Linked DNA regions of Arabidopsis thaliana. The protein of the gene in region 1 interacts with the protein of each later gene in a pairwise test. Each region holds a gene or a part of one and is shown on either strand. Other genes may lie near its edges.

Evidence for each region.
Region 2: the proteins of ZFP10 (region 1) and ERF10 interact in a two-hybrid assay, tested with the Arabidopsis thaliana proteins (one large-scale study listed by BioGRID).

Annotation. Positions count from the first base shown.
Region 1 is NC_003071.7:15,825,117-15,833,747, forward strand, and holds ZFP10 (zinc-finger protein 10), read right to left. Parts: upstream 3,669-8,631; 5' UTR 3,505-3,668; coding exon 2,590-3,504; 3' UTR 2,300-2,589; downstream 1-2,299. Other genes in the region: AT2G37750 (uncharacterized protein), read left to right, coding at 5,901-6,149; AKR4C8 (NAD(P)-linked oxidoreductase superfamily protein), read left to right, coding at 6,879-6,986, 7,075-7,125, 7,425-7,501, 7,587-7,674, 7,751-8,026, 8,118-8,366, 8,540-8,626.
Region 2 is NC_003070.9:954,388-961,881, forward strand, and holds ERF10 (ERF domain protein 10), read right to left. Parts: upstream 3,997-7,494; 5' UTR 3,612-3,996; coding exon 2,874-3,611; 3' UTR 2,717-2,873; downstream 1-2,716. Other genes in the region: SOM (Zinc finger C-x8-C-x5-C-x3-H type family protein), read left to right, coding at 202-1,383; AT1G03810 (Nucleic acid-binding, OB-fold-like protein), read left to right, coding at 4,372-4,621, 5,041-5,222; AT1G03820 (E6-like protein), read right to left, coding at 5,621-6,289.

The DNA.
Region 1 (8,631 bases):
TGGTCTTTTCTTGTTGTCAGGATCCTCTGTAGAACTTTCGCTTACATATGTACCAGTGTACTTGTGTGTATTATATTTCTGTTAGTATTCGAAGTCTAGTTGTTGATTAGTTTCAAACAGACATATGTCGACTGGTCTTGCTATTGGGAAATAATTGATAACCAATTTTTGTCCAGTAATTGATGCATTATATTATTATCTAAAGAATCGTCCAAAATTCCGTGACACTTTAATTCTTAGAATCCAAAAAAAAATTCCCTTCACGTATTGTATATATTTGATTATTGTCATATTTGAATTATTAATTTAACTATTGAAATATGTGAGTTACAGAGAATGAGATTCATTCCCCATGTGGAAGCTCTGCTTTTATTCGAAGACTTCACTTCCACCTATGTATTGTTATATACAGAGAAGACCACTTCATTATATTTATAGCAATCTAAAGAGCGTATCTAACTAATAACCAAACCCTAGCTAGGTAAACCAAGAATTAGTTGATAGCTTTGAAGTTTATGCCAATGGGTTCATGAACGAATCGAAAAACATTCAAGAGAAAATATCTGTTTTTAAATTCTTTTCAAAATCAACTTGCACAAAAAGAAGAAAGTTTCTATGTTATTTCACTGTATCATTTCTTAGAATCTCATACAACATATATATTTTACACTATAAAATCATATCAAATCAAATCACTAAGAGACTATACTAATTGTTTTTCATTTTTAGACTTCTAGTAAAATCTCACTAATAGATTAGCTCCAAAATTCTTTAGACAAGTAGATATATCATATATACTTGCCCGTATATGCATCTATATATAGTTTCCCCTATAAAGCTCACCACCTTATTTAATGTACTACGTAGTGGGATTGGGAAGCAACTTGGGTAAACATTTTCCACTAATGTAAAAACTTTCACTTATTGTATTCAAAAAGTTTTTTTGGTTGTATCAATAGAAACCGGATGGTTGATAGAAATTAAGAATGAAAATACTATGGTTTATGTAATGTAAATGTGTAATATATAATTAAGTATAAACAGATTCTTCCAATGCGTTATGGGTTTTTGATATATAGAAACAGTGCAAACCTAGTTTACAGATACGATATGAAAATTTATAGATTAAGTTAAGTCTAAGCGATAGAAGAGTTGGTAACCCATGGGGCTAAAAAGTTAGGGTAGAGACTCTAAATGGTTGGAGTAGTATATAATTTTATTCTATTCAATTATCTATTGAGACAAAACAAGCGAAAGGGAATATGTGTTGTGACATATTTGGATTTTTGTGCTCTTTCTTATGCTTATTTTTATGATTTTGACAGAATGGCATGTTACGTACTGAGATGCGAATGTATGTGGAAACGAGCTTATAACGACGTTTAACAACGAGGAATTAGTCATTATTAAACTATTTCCTTATTGTTTTACAAAATTAGTTACGAACTTATTTGCCAGAGTTCCTGCAATTATGATAGGAAAAAGAACAATAATTAGTTGCTTCCGAGTTTTTCTACTTTACGTAAATATTAATTATATTATAGCTATCGAAATTCCTTTAATAAATTACTAACTAAGATCTATGGGAGAATTATTCATCATTCGATCTCTTTCTTGGAAATTGTGACAGAAAATATTCCATCTTCATGTGATTTTATTTTGGATTGTTGTTACACAACATGCTTCAAATCACTCAAGGAAGTATAGACGTGTCAATACTTTTTTTTTAATTTTTAACCAAGAGGTTTCGGACTTAAGAGTTATTAAGACCCCGTATTCTTATTATGGAAACCATAACAACTTAGTTAGTCATTTTTCCGGTAAGATTCGAATTAAGCTGAGATTTTAAAGCGCATTTAAACGATCGCCTAGGTAGTGAAGCTGGGCTATACAAAATACTTTGCTCTTGTTTATATATACAAAAGTATTTTGCTCGTTTTCATGGTTTCGTATTTTCATGTACATTATCATTTCAAATACTACTATTACTAAATAATATACTACAGAGTTCATATAGTCATTTGCATATCCAAGCTAAATCATATATATCGAAAACTTTACCCAGAAAATGAATCATAATATGGGCTCATCTGACCCCATTAACCAATCTTTATTTTTTTCTCTGTGAATAGATATCTCAACGTCGTAAACTAGAAGCTGAGAAATGAATGGTATGTGGTAGCATATGTATGATTCACTCCTGGAAACATTGTCTAAACATGTACTACTAATTATAACAAAATGACTTAGGGTGTCAATATACCTAATTGTATATGAAATTTTGTTCTCAAGCCTCAAGTGTACATACATATACTACTCAATACTTCCTTTAGATTTTTCCATTTTTTTTTAGCTGAACTTTTCATACAATTTATCCCCCAAAATAAAACAATAGAAATAAAACCCAAAAATCAATCATCAGTACATTTTAGACACACAAAACGAAGGAACGATAAATCCAAGTACACACATACACATTCACATACATACCATATGAAATGTGTTATTTTGTCTCACCATATGAAATGTTACTATTTATATATATCTTCCCTTTACCTTTGTTTTGGTAGAGATTCATCGGTCCATCAATCAAATTCCTTTTGGTGGATCAGTCCCTAGCCTAAGCTCAAGATCTAAATCCTCAAAGCGATCACCTTTGTGTTTGCTTTCCTCGTTTCTTGTAATTATGTCACTCTTACAAGATAAACTTGAAATGAAAATCGACTGCTGCGACGGACTCTCATGTCTTCGTCTTCTTTTACGGATATCCACCCTACCAATCTCTTCATCGCTACCGTGAGCAGTAATCGGAAAACTTTGGTGGATGACCAGATTCATACTCACCGAGAGATCAGTGGTGTTTCCAAGACTAAGTTTTGCTTTATGCCCGATTTTTGGCACATCACTCTCAGTCTTTCTCTTCTTTTCTCCTTCCATAGCCGGAATTTCATATAGATCACAACTCTTTTGCTCCACAACAGTACTTGGGCACGACCATGGGGAAGAAGAGGGAATATATTTAGAGTTCTTGGAAGGTTCTACAACGAAAGAAGGAGGAGAAGAAGAAGTATGTTGCTTTCCAGGCAAACCAGAAGAAACCCTAGAAGGAGTCAAATATGGTAAAGAAGAAGACGAAGAAAGATCAATAACACAAGAGTGTTGAGTCTTAAAATAATTAGGTTTGGTGTTAAAAACCAAAGTATAGCAAGAGGTTTCATGAATATTATCGCTATCTTTATGAGATGGATACTCTGGAGACGAAGAAGATTTGGGGAATAAGTATTGGTCGTCGGCTTGCTTAAGCCGTGCTCTGTCTCTTCGGTGAACGTTCATATGGCCACCGAGGGCTTGAGCCGATTTAAATTCTCTCCGGCAGAAGCTACACGTATAAGATCTTGGCGGCCACAAAGATCCGGCGGCATCGTCTTCTGCAAAGGCCAGCTCTTCCCAAGATGACTCTTTGTTGCTTTTCTTGGGGATCCAGAAGCCACCAGGTTTCTCCATTGTATATGACAATATTGATCAGAAGTTGACGATACAAACCCTAGAATAAACCTTTCTTCTTCCTTTTTTTCTTGGTTGGTTAGAGGAACCCTAGATGATTAATATTAGGTGGTGGATTACGGAAGAGATCAAGAATGGTGTAATGAAAATAATGGAGGTCAAGATGTTTTATATAAAAAGAAATTAAAACCAAAACGAGTGGAGGTTTTTTAACGATCAAAGGAATTATAGTTTATTTAATTAATTAATTGGGAAATAATAATAATAATAATAATTGGACCGTAGGGATTTTATGAAGAAAAAGATGACACGAACTTTGGATTTTAGTAAAAGTTAGCGGACTGATCTAAATCTTTTATGTTTGCTTGTTCCAAGTGGCTACCCGCAAATGAACGTAATATTTTTCCTTGAATATACAGTAATTTATAGTATTGTAATTAATGTAGTACATATATCTGTTTTAATTTTTTTTTGAAACCAATTATAAATATCCTCACGGTAAAATGGATTATATATATATATATATATATATTTGCTAAATGAAATATCATTTCAAGAATTTAGTTTATTAGAAATATTTTATTAAATGAAATATAATAGTTTATTATTAAACTAAATTGTTTCATTTAACCAAAATATTTTCTATGATGCTATTTCATCCCTGATTTTTGTGATTATGGATATATTGTTAACTTTATAACAAAACAAGAGAATTCAAGGGACTGAAACGTTTTATGACTTTTAAATGGATGACTATATACAATGGCTGATCCAAAAAAACAATTTTGGGTAAGGCATATTCAGTGAGCTCTAGGCTTAGCGCCATATATGTTACATCAAAATTTATTTTGTAGAGTAAAAAGCTTTTTAGAACAAAAAAACAACACCTTAATTTATGTCTATTTTCGTTGTAAATGTGTAATATATAATACATTTAATGAATTACAACAAATGGTAAAACTCATGCTGATAAAATACTGCAAACTAGTTCATAATCGAACTCAATAGAAAATAGAAAAAAGAATTTATACTTTTGTAAAAAAAAAATGCTACTTTGTTTTTCTGTTGTATCGGTAAAGATGAGAACAACACTGACCAAGCGAGGTTTTGGGCTTTAACCATACAAGGCCCACATGAATACAAAGTATAGAGTTTAGTTGTCCACTAAAAACCTAGTTCTATAAGGAGATTATTGCCTTGAGAACAAAATGATTTTATTCCCAATGAACAAGCAAACAAGAAGTTCAATATTTTCTTGTCGAACTTTTTGTCTTCATACCTTTACAATAAAGTGATTAACTCATTACAAATAAATTGTGAGGAATACTAGAAACTTGGATTTATTGACATGATGTTTATTGTTTTAGACATTTTATCTTCATTTGTAACATCGTGATAATGACACATGTTCTAGTTTTTTTTTTTTTTTTTTTTTGGACAAACAGATGTTCTAGTTTTATCTATCAAATTTGAGGAGAAAATATTTTAGTGTTACAAAAATATATAGAAAGGTCTTTTGTTTTTCAATGTTACTGTTAACCTTAAAGTCAAGTTTCAATCAGATAAAGAACTATATGATATAATCACAGTCATCATACAGGCAGATGAAGATAACCATTAAATCAAGACGATAGTCAATCATACTCAATTGGCTTCTTCAATACCAACGGATTAATTAATTCCTCAATAGCTAATATATATCTTTTTAATATTTTGACTATACCCAAATAGTTTAGTGGGCACAATTTCGTAACCTTCTCTTATTTTTTTACACCTCAAACAGTCAAACGTCATCATATATATAACAAATCTTTTGACATCATACGTTATTTTCTATAATAATCCAAACACATCCCCCACCTTTATAAATATATTATGATACACTTCCCATTATTCAAAGATTTTATAGCACAATTTTGTTTTTTAAAAGCAATTAATTAACTACTATAGTATACTTTACTAACAACATTTGAAAAAATATACAAAAATTAAAATTTTATCATTATCAAAGCAGTCCAGCTGCATACCATTATCAAAATTGGATGTGGATAAACTTAATTTGATAAATTTCTGTATAACTTAACAAATATTAAATATGTGTTAATAGTTATGTCAACTTATGTTGAAGATAAATCCATTGGACCGGCCGTGGTTTTTATATTAGTTTGAATGTAGCTTTCAGATTCTTCCTATACCCAAATTTCACATTCAAAGGTTGCTTATCTTTTTAACATTCAAACTCATTTAATATTTAAATACACTAACTAATGACGTGAGAAAACTTATGGATGCAGCAACAAATCATAAGACGCCACGTGACAATCTTGATCGCTCTATAAAAAACCAAACCTGCTCTTCTTTGGTCGCTACAGCAAAAATAACAATAAACAAGATAAATGGAGGGTCTAATTCCGTTAGTATACAAAGCCGTCATGCAAATCCGTTACGGTAACGAGTCGCAGCAACTTTCTTCTTCTTACTACGTTCGTCTTCCCGGTGATTCGGGTCGGTTTGTAAGATCCGATTTAGATGTATCGGGTCCTGGATCTAATTCCTCCAATAGGGCGTCGTCGTCGACAAGCACAACTACGTTTGCTGTTTACGCGGGAGTCCAGTCACCTGTTTCTCGTCAGGTTGTCACGTGATTCACACGCGCTTTTTGAAGGAACCTGAAGTTGCGTGTGAGGGAAGGGTTCGTGACTTTTGTTTTGTGCGTTTTTTTTTTGTAAGTTAGGCTTGGACCGGTTTAATAAACCTGATGTAATAATTCGGTTTGGAAAATTGATTTCTCTAAGCGTAGACTTTAACCCAAAAGGGTGGTCTCGTGGCTTTTGATTTGTCAATTGTGTGTTTTCTTTTAATTGTATAAAGTTTCTATGAATATATTTAGTTTATTCGAGAACAATTGTATGAAATGTTTAGTTAATGTTTTCATGGTATATAGGTTGTAAAACAGGTTAATTACGTTACAATTTCCTAGTTTTGGTATTAATATGCAAAAATGACATAATATCAAACTTTTAAGTAAATTGATATTTTTCACTAATGTTAATAATGAAACCAACTAACAAAAAAAAAAAAGAACAAACCAATTTCTATTTGTTTAAGACTTTGACAGTACATCACTTTTAGAAATAAATGCCATAATTATGTTATGTGCACACTGCAAAAGAAAATGAATACGCACAATTGACTATAAAGAAAACGCCTTTAGTGGCCATACGATTTTTAGCATTTTATGCGGAAGAAACAAAGTGCTATTTCTCCGAGTTACGTATGTTTCTTTTCTTCTGCATCTAGTTTTTTTTTTGCATATTCATCACCTTCTCTCAGTTTTCTTCTTTCAATAGAATTATCCAGAAAACTTTTAAGAGATGGCAGCTCCGATTCGATTCTTTGAACTGAACACTGGTGCCAAGTTACCTTGCGTCGGTCTAGGAACCTACGCAATGGTCGCGACAGCGATCGAACAGGCGATTAAGGTATCACCTTCGGATCAAACTTCGACCTTATTATTATGCCATTGGATATAAAATTTAACTTTGACACTTTTCTTGTCGATTATTTTAGATTGGTTACAGGCATATCGACTGTGCTTCGATTTACGGAAACGAGAAAGAGGTAAATTTGCTATCTACAATATATTTTAATTTATCTCTCTTTAACCATAGATGTCATTTGACTGGTCATCAAATGTATTCTCTACAAGAGTGTATATTTATTATAGTTTTTGAGGGTCATGGTGGAACAAGAATCTCACAGTAAGTGTAGCCTCTATGCTTCTAATGAAAGAGTTTTTTTTTTGGTATGATGCTTCTAATGAAAAAGGTATATGAATGTTTAGTTTGTGGGAACTAAATGTGTTCTGCTTTCTTCCTATTTTCGTTGTTCTCACACTATGATTGATTTCCATTTATTAGATTGGTGGTGTGTTGAAGAAGCTGATAGGTGATGGTTTTGTGAAGCGTGAGGAGTTATTTATCACTTCCAAACTCTGGTTGGTGTTCTGTTTCTACCAAGATTCTCTCTGGTCTGCACTGCACACACACACACATGTTCATGTTTTTTGTTTTGTTCTGTAGGAGCAATGATCATTTACCTGAAGATGTGCCTAAGGCACTGGAAAAAACGTTACAGGACTTACAGATTGACTATGTTGATTTATATCTGGTACATAACTTATAGCAAATGAATCTTGTTTACGTGTAATTTTTTCCATTTTGATGTGTTTTTGCTTTTGTTGAAGATACATTGGCCTGCGAGCTTGAAGAAGGAATCACTAATGCCAACACCTGAGATGCTCACAAAACCTGATATAACTAGCACATGGAAAGCAATGGAAGCTCTCTATGACTCTGGAAAAGCTCGAGCAATCGGTGTAAGCAATTTCTCGTCGAAGAAGCTTACAGATCTTCTTAACGTGGCACGTGTAACCCCGGCTGTTAACCAAGTTGAATGTCACCCAGTTTGGCAGCAACAAGGTCTTCATGAGTTATGCAAATCCAAAGGAGTTCACTTATCTGTGAGTATACTTACAAATTCCAAAATTTACTCTGTTTTTGCAAGTATGAATTAACGAAGATGCCTTTTCATCTGTTTTGGATTGATGATAGGGTTACTCTCCTTTGGGTTCCCAAAGTAAGGGAGAAGTCAGGCTAAAGGTTCTTCAAAACCCGATTGTTACCGAGGTTGCTGAGAAACTTGGAAAGACCACCGCCCAAGTGGCTCTCCGTTGGGGACTCCAAACTGGTCATAGTGTTCTACCAAAGAGCTCGAGCGGGGCTCGGCTCAAGGAGAATCTTGATGTTTTTGACTGGTCCATACCGGAAGATCTGTTTACCAAGTTCTCTAACATTCCCCAGGCAAGTTCTTTCATCTTTCTTTTTTTTTCTCGATGAATCAAACGACAATTTCGGTTTGGTTTCTTGTCATTATTGATCTTCCCTCCTCTTCACCATCTTGTTTTCCTCGACCCCATCATGTTGATTATAGATCGTCAAATAATGGATTTTACCAATCCCTATAAATCTTGCAGGAGAAGTTTTGCCGAGCTACTGAGTTTGCGCATGAGACACACGGCTTCTATAAGACCATTGAGGAATTGTGGGACGGTGAAATTTGAGATAA
Region 2 (7,494 bases), on another chromosome or scaffold:
TACATCTCATCAAAATTCTATTTAATGATAATAATCCAAAGCTAACAATATTTAAATATACGTTTTAACTTATTCTCATGTCTATATCTATACTCAATCCACATATATATAAACCACAATATCCCATCTTTCATCTTACACAAATCCCTCAAAACCAAAACACATCACAAACAAAAAAAACAAGTTAGATATTATATCATCATGGATGTCGTTTGTACGGAACATCAAATGAGGAAGCCAACGGTGGAGATTCCTCCGAGAAAGCTTCTTTTATCTTCCAAGAGTTTTCCTTCTGATTCTTCTTCCCCTCGCTCGCCGCGTAAACATAACTGGAACAAAAGCAACAAGATTACATCTGAACATGAAGAAGACAACGAAGACAACAACAGAGAGAATAAAGAGTACTGTTATGATTCTGACTCTGATGATCCTTACGCAAGTGATCATTTCCGGATGTTCGAATTCAAGATCCGTCGTTGCACTCGTAGCCGAAGCCACGATTGGACTGATTGTCCTTTTGCTCATCCCGGTGAGAAAGCTCGCCGTCGTGACCCTCGTCGCTTTCAATACTCCGGTGAGGTTTGTCCCGAGTTTCGTCGTGGTGGTGATTGTAGCCGTGGAGATGATTGTGAGTTTGCTCATGGAGTCTTCGAGTGTTGGCTCCATCCTATTCGTTACCGTACTGAAGCTTGTAAAGACGGTAAACACTGTAAAAGGAAAGTCTGTTTCTTTGCTCATTCGCCACGTCAGCTTAGGGTTCTTCCTCCGGAGAACGTTTCCGGTGTCTCAGCGTCGCCTTCTCCTGCGGCGAAGAATCCATGTTGCTTGTTTTGTAGCAGCTCTCCCACGAGCACTCTTTTGGGTAATTTGTCTCATCTTTCTCGATCTCCGTCTCTGTCTCCACCTATGTCTCCGGCTAATAAAGCCGCTGCTTTTTCACGGTTGAGGAACCGCGCCGCTTCTGCCGTTTCCGCCGCTGCAGCCGCTGGTTCAATGAACTATAAAGACGTTTTGAGCGAGCTTGTGAATTCTTTGGATTCCATGAGCTTAGCGGAAGCGCTGCAGGCGAGTTCCTCGTCGCCCGTTACAACTCCGGTTTCCGCTGCGGCTGCCGCGTTTGCGTCGTCCTGCGGTCTGAGCAATCAGCGTCTCCATCTCCAGCAACAACAACCAAGTAGCCCTTTGCAATTTGCTCTTTCGCCTTCCACTCCAAGTTACCTAACTAACTCACCTCAGGCGAACTTCTTCAGTGATGATTTCACTCCTCGCCGGAGACAGATGAACGATTTCACGGCGATGACGGCCGTTAGGGAGAATACTAACATTGAGGATGGTTCTTGTGGTGACCCTGATCTAGGATGGGTCAATGATCTCTTGACTTGAGGGATTGACGGTGGAGATTCGCCGGGAGGAGATCTGACTTGAGAATGTAAATTTCGGTGGAAGAATTTTAATCACATTCATGAATCATGGGAGAATAATCGGTTCGTAACGGTTTGGTCAATGCATGGAGAGATTGTTTGTTCAAATTTATTTTGAAGATTTTTTTTTTTAGCTAATTCAGAAGTGTCTTGTGTATTGTCGTTTATTTTTTAGAATTTTCTTTTTCTGATGGGATTTTTACCAAATAATATGTTGAACTTGTAATATCTTGTGGACTCGGATTGTGCAATGTTTCACCAATTCTATAGATATTTTTCCCTTTTCATGTATACTTTGTTAAATCTTTAATAGATCAATTTGAACATTACAACCTCACAATTGAATATTGATATGTATATTGATCTTCTTTTTTGTTTTCGTCTTCGTCTGTTTTCATCATTGTGATATGTATATTGATTAACTGATGGTTTTTGTTTTATAGTTAATTTGTATTAAGCTTTTAAACGTATAAAATATCACTGGACGATTGATCACATTGCGTTTTCGGTTTACGCTATTAAGTTTTATAAATGATATTAAGATATGCGTTTCTTGAAAATAAATGTTTCATCTCATCGTATACCCTGAAACGTGTTATGTTTATGATTTAATTTTATGAATGTACCTATGCACAATTCTCGAATTATTCATCCCCCTCACCCTGAAATGTGTTATGTTTTGGTTATGCTGGTGCCTGGTAGACGAGAATACAGTTGTGTTAGTACCGTCTCCCTAAAGTTATATGTCACATCCTTTTTTGTATATAAAAAGGTGCGACAAGTTCTCCAATTGTTCTTCTTTGGACACCACACGAAAGCTAGTAGCTTTCATATGAGGCATGTGTATGTCATCGACAGATGTACATATCGAGACGTGTTGACTACATAATATTATAATATATGAGCACATACATGCATGTATGGGATCTATGAACATATATACTCCTTTTGGTGGACTCTATACTCATTGCTATAAACAAAGTGATGAAACATACATATTTCTGTTTATCAAGAGAATCTTGATTTTGGATCAGTTTGTTACTGGGGTATTAAATACAATCATTGTCACAGATGTTTTTCTTTCTCTCATTTGATATTTACCTTTGCTCTTATAAGTTATAACTAATTCAAGGAGCTAGTGTATATCACCGTAAAAGAGAGCGCGTGAGTAAAAAAGGTAAGTAGTGAGATAAGTTGTATTCCACGTGTCACTGTGGACGGCGAAAAACACACGTGCGACCCACCTGACACCAATACTTCTTTATCCCCCACGTCAACACGAAATCCATTGGCTAGGTTATGATACGATAATAGTTCAATTACCTTTTTTTAATACATAAAAAAATGTTTGTTTTGTCCTCCAAAAGCACGAATCAACCAATAGAAGTACAGACAATCAGAAGAGCGACAAGATAACAAACTTATTCAAGGACAACAACATCAGATCAATCTTTAGGGACTTGCGTTGAGGTCAAGATCCGGTTCCATTCGCAGCTTACAATCCACGGCGGAGGAAGTCTCAGGCTCTTCCACGGCGGTTTGAGGACCAATAGTCAACCCCATATCAATGGACTCAAACTGGTCAGGACAAACTCGATCAAGCTCCTCTTTCAACGCAATAACTTCAGGCAGATCTAAGAAAAATCCAGCAACCGCTTCAGCCACCCCCGGAGATAACATGTCGTGACAATCCGATGGAAGTGTTCCATCACGCGCCGTTTCGGAAAGGGTGTTGTTCACCGGAGAAGCCAAAGCATTCCCATCGTCTCCAACGAGAGGGAGGTTGGCATTTCCATCACTCACCGTCTCGGAAAGGTTGTTGTTCACCGGCGTCGCCGAAGAAATCCCATAGTATCCGATTAGAGGGAAGTTAGTAGTAGCTTTCGATCCTCGAAACCTTATGGCAGCGGAGTCGTAGGCTCTGGCGGCTTCCTCCCCCGTGTTGAAGGACCCGAGCCAGACCCGTTTTTTCTTTACCGGATCACGGATCTCCGCAGCATATCTCCCCCATGGTCTCCTCCTTACACCCCTGTAACGCACTTCCTTACTCTTTTCTCCGCCGTCATTCACGGCCAGGGCCTTAGTTACATTCTTTCTCTTCTTTACGCCCTTGTCACTCACTTCCTTACTCTTTTCTCCGCCGTCTTTCACGGCCACGGCCGTAGTGACATTCTCTTTTTCTGTGGTCATATTTTGGTTGGGGGAGAATAATTTAGATAAAGGACAAAACTATTGTTTTATAGAAGTGACGTAATCCCACAAAAGGACAAAGTGACAAAAATGTGGAAAGAAATGTCCACGTGGATTGACTGACGCGCCGCCTTAAAGAGAAAACAGTTTTATGACGCCTTTTTATGTTTTAACCTAAACGTCCCCGTTCTTGCGTCTCGCAGTTTTGCGCCATTTGTTGCTTGGGCTTTAACAGGTTATTATCTTTGGGCTTTTTCATATTTTATCTGAGAATCTGATAAACAAGTACTTAGAAATTATCCATGTCGAATATATACTTCGAGAAAGCTTGATGAATCTAAAATTGTATTCTTTGATACAAAAGTTATAATACATAAAAATTGAGTAGATGATACATTGCTACATTATAACAAAATTTGATGATTTATTATTACTCCACAATCTGCTTAGACTAATATTGGATGTCAAAAAAAGAAAATTCGACTAATATTAAGCATAATATGAAAATATAATGAGTTTAAGTTTCAAATTTTGAACGCGCCAATAAAATGTATACCGTTTTAAAAATCGCAAAAAATGAATTAGTGGTAATTTATAATCCAGTAATTTAGATAATAATCCAGAGTAAGATTTGTTTCTAATTTTCTCATTTAAATACCATTGTGAAGAATCTAAACCCTAATCTACCAGCGCGACTCTTCATCACGTCAAAGTTGTCAATTATTTTGAAAAACCCTAAGGAGATTCAAATTACGACACTATGTCGACGACGGCGAATACTAACGCGACGACTGCGCCGAAGCGTAAACCAGTGTTTGTGAAGGTGGATCAGCTCAAACCAGGAACCAGCGGCCATACTCTGATCGTCAAAGTCCTTGAATCGAATCCCGTTAAACCGGCGATTCGTAAAAGTTCGTTGACGCAGCAGCCAATTTCATCTCCTCGTATCGCTGAGTGCCTAATTGGTGACGATACTGGATGCATTCTTTTCACCGCTCGCAACGACCAAGGTAAGGATCTTAATTATTTACATATATAAGTTCTCTTGGTTAGGGTTTCGTAATCGTTTCTCTATCGTTTTCACTCGAAATTGCGTTCAATCTTTCCATAATTTCTCTGTTTCTAGGTTTATATATGCCTTGATTGGAATCTCTATGTTTGTGAAGATCTAAAACATTTATACTTCAGAGATTTTGATAAAGTTTAACTTTTTTTATAGATAATTTTGCTTATAGTTTAGTTTATTGATGAACAGAGTATATCTATTTATATATGTCTAAGCTTTGATTAGTGTTCAATATGTTCCACTTCATTAATCTCTAAGCTTTGATTAGTGTGTTTGTGTTTGACATTTATACAACTTCCTATTCAATATGTGAGAATATGTATGGTACTAATTAATGATGTTCTTTTGGGGTTGCAAATGCAGTTGATCTAATGAAGACTGGAGCAACAGTTATACTGAGGAATGCGAAGATCGACTTGTTCAAGGACACTATGAGAATGGCTGTTGACAGATGGGGACGCATTGAAATAACCGGTCCTGTTTCGTTCGAGGTTAACCGGGCCAACAATCTCTCTCTGGTCGAGTATGAAGTAATTACTGCTTAATGACTACAACCGGTGTCTGTCTCTACTTCTCTTCGTTATTATTTAATTTAAATTTTCAGAGAACTCTCTAGGTCACTGAGATTATATTCAGTTATGATTACTTTTGAGATTATGATGGTGTAGTTTTGGTCTTGCATAGTTCTCTTAAATTGGTATTATTGGTCTTTTGATTCTATTTTTAACACATACTCGTCGCTGGTATTAATCATGGTCATAAATTGAGATTAAGATAAACGTTAAAAAATTTTAGCATAAACATAATATAACTCACAGCTTTGATTTGTATAACTTAAAAGTGTTTTTACTTTCACTTTTCATAAAAGACAAGTAAATGGAGATTGCACAATATAATTAATTGCTCCAAAAAAGTGTTTTGTTTTCTCAAATACAATTTCCTTCTAAGGCTCATACTCTTCTTGACTACCCTCCAAGCTCTTGTAGTATTCCTCCATAGTTTCAAACTCGTTGGTATGATCATTTCCTCGAGCATTCTCATACCCGCGACTAGGGGTGTTTTCTGAATTCCTACCTCTTGTGTCGTAGAAATACTTACCGTTCTCCATAACCCTTGTGTCACTCATCCCCTGCTTCTCTTCTTCATTACCGTAACCTCTCCCATTGTCATTATAATTGTTAGTAGTGTAAGTGTATCCATTATTGTTGTTGTTGTTGTTGTACTTATCCTTTGGCTCATTGAGATCTTCCGAATCTTCAGATTCTTCTTCTTCCTCGAATGCCTCGGGTAACTTGGTATTCTTTTCTTCGTCAAATGTAGCCATCAATTTCTCAAACTCTTCGTCTGTTGTAGTGGATGAACTTGGCCATGACTCTTTGGTTTGAGGAATCATACCGGAACCAGGCCCGAAAGACCCATTTCCGAGTCTTCCATTAGCTTGGGCTAGTCCGGGAGCTGGAGCTGGAGATAGAGCGACATCTTTGTTGTTAGGACGATCTATGTGAGTGAACTTGCTAAAGAAGAGCTTACCCTCTCTAGCTTCAACATTGTGGACGATGAAGCAAAAAACAGCAATGAAACAAAAAATGGGTTTCAGAGCAAAAGAAGCCATCAATGAAGAGAGAATAATGTGAGAGAGTGAAAGATTTTAGGATTTGAGATGTGATTTTGGTGTGTGAGTGAGTTTATGTATAAATAGAATTAAGAAGTAGTTTTTTTTTTGGTATGATAAGTAAAGAAGTAGTTAAATGGCGAGCAAACATGCGAAGATTGAGGAGGGGACATTCGTCATTCGCGGCGAGTGATTTAAAATAAAATTTGAAAAGGTTATAAAGAATTCATAAAGTGGGTCATACGAGGATATTTTGCATTTGTTAGTTTTATTTATATATGTTTTGGTCAAAAAAGAAAAGCACCCAAGAAAATAAATTACGAGTTATTATTTATTTACACATGCTTTTGACTTTATTCCACTGTTTGGTAGTTGAGTTAGTTGAAAAATGAAGATTAGAAATTTAGAATTAGATAATGTTTTGTGGTAGCAAAGCTGTTATAATGTTAAAAGGAAATATATTTTTAATAATAACTATACATAGATCTCTAAAATGCCATTTTAATGATTATCACAAGTTTTTAATAGCCATGATTATCATATACAGTATTATATTATACTAGTAGATTTATGATATACTAGTAAATAATTTGATACAAAATTTATTTGAGTTTACACGTGTTTTAAGGTTTGAAGTGCAAGATTTTTTTATTTAGTATTTTGGTAAGAACAAAAGAAACTGATATAGACACAACATTAAAGAGAGAAAGCAATGACGATTAAGTAGGTCCAATTTGGAAATAAGAGAAAGAATAGGATAATTGGATAGTAGGACTTTTGGGCCAATGGGACGAGTCATGATGGTTCTCTCGACGATTGCTTAGTGTGGAGCTGAAGCTATCTCAGCTTTTGTCCCGTGATCGTCGGGAATTATTTATTACCATCTCTTTTTTAAGCTTGTCGTTGTCGGAGAAACATACTCGATGCAATACCTCATTCTATAGCATATGTGGTTTTTACATTTTTCACACGAATCAAGTTTAAGTCTACATTTCTATAAAGTCACTAATTTTAACCAAGGACAAATCAGATATACAGTTTTAATACAAAAAGTATTTAAACATTTTTTAAATTTTGAATCAACATTTAATGTGAAAGGGATAACTATTATTTAGAACAACCACACATTGTTTTCTTATGATCCAAAAGTTTCACAAGCCCATGTACCAGTCCAGCCCATTTTCCAAATGACTAAGCAGTTAAAA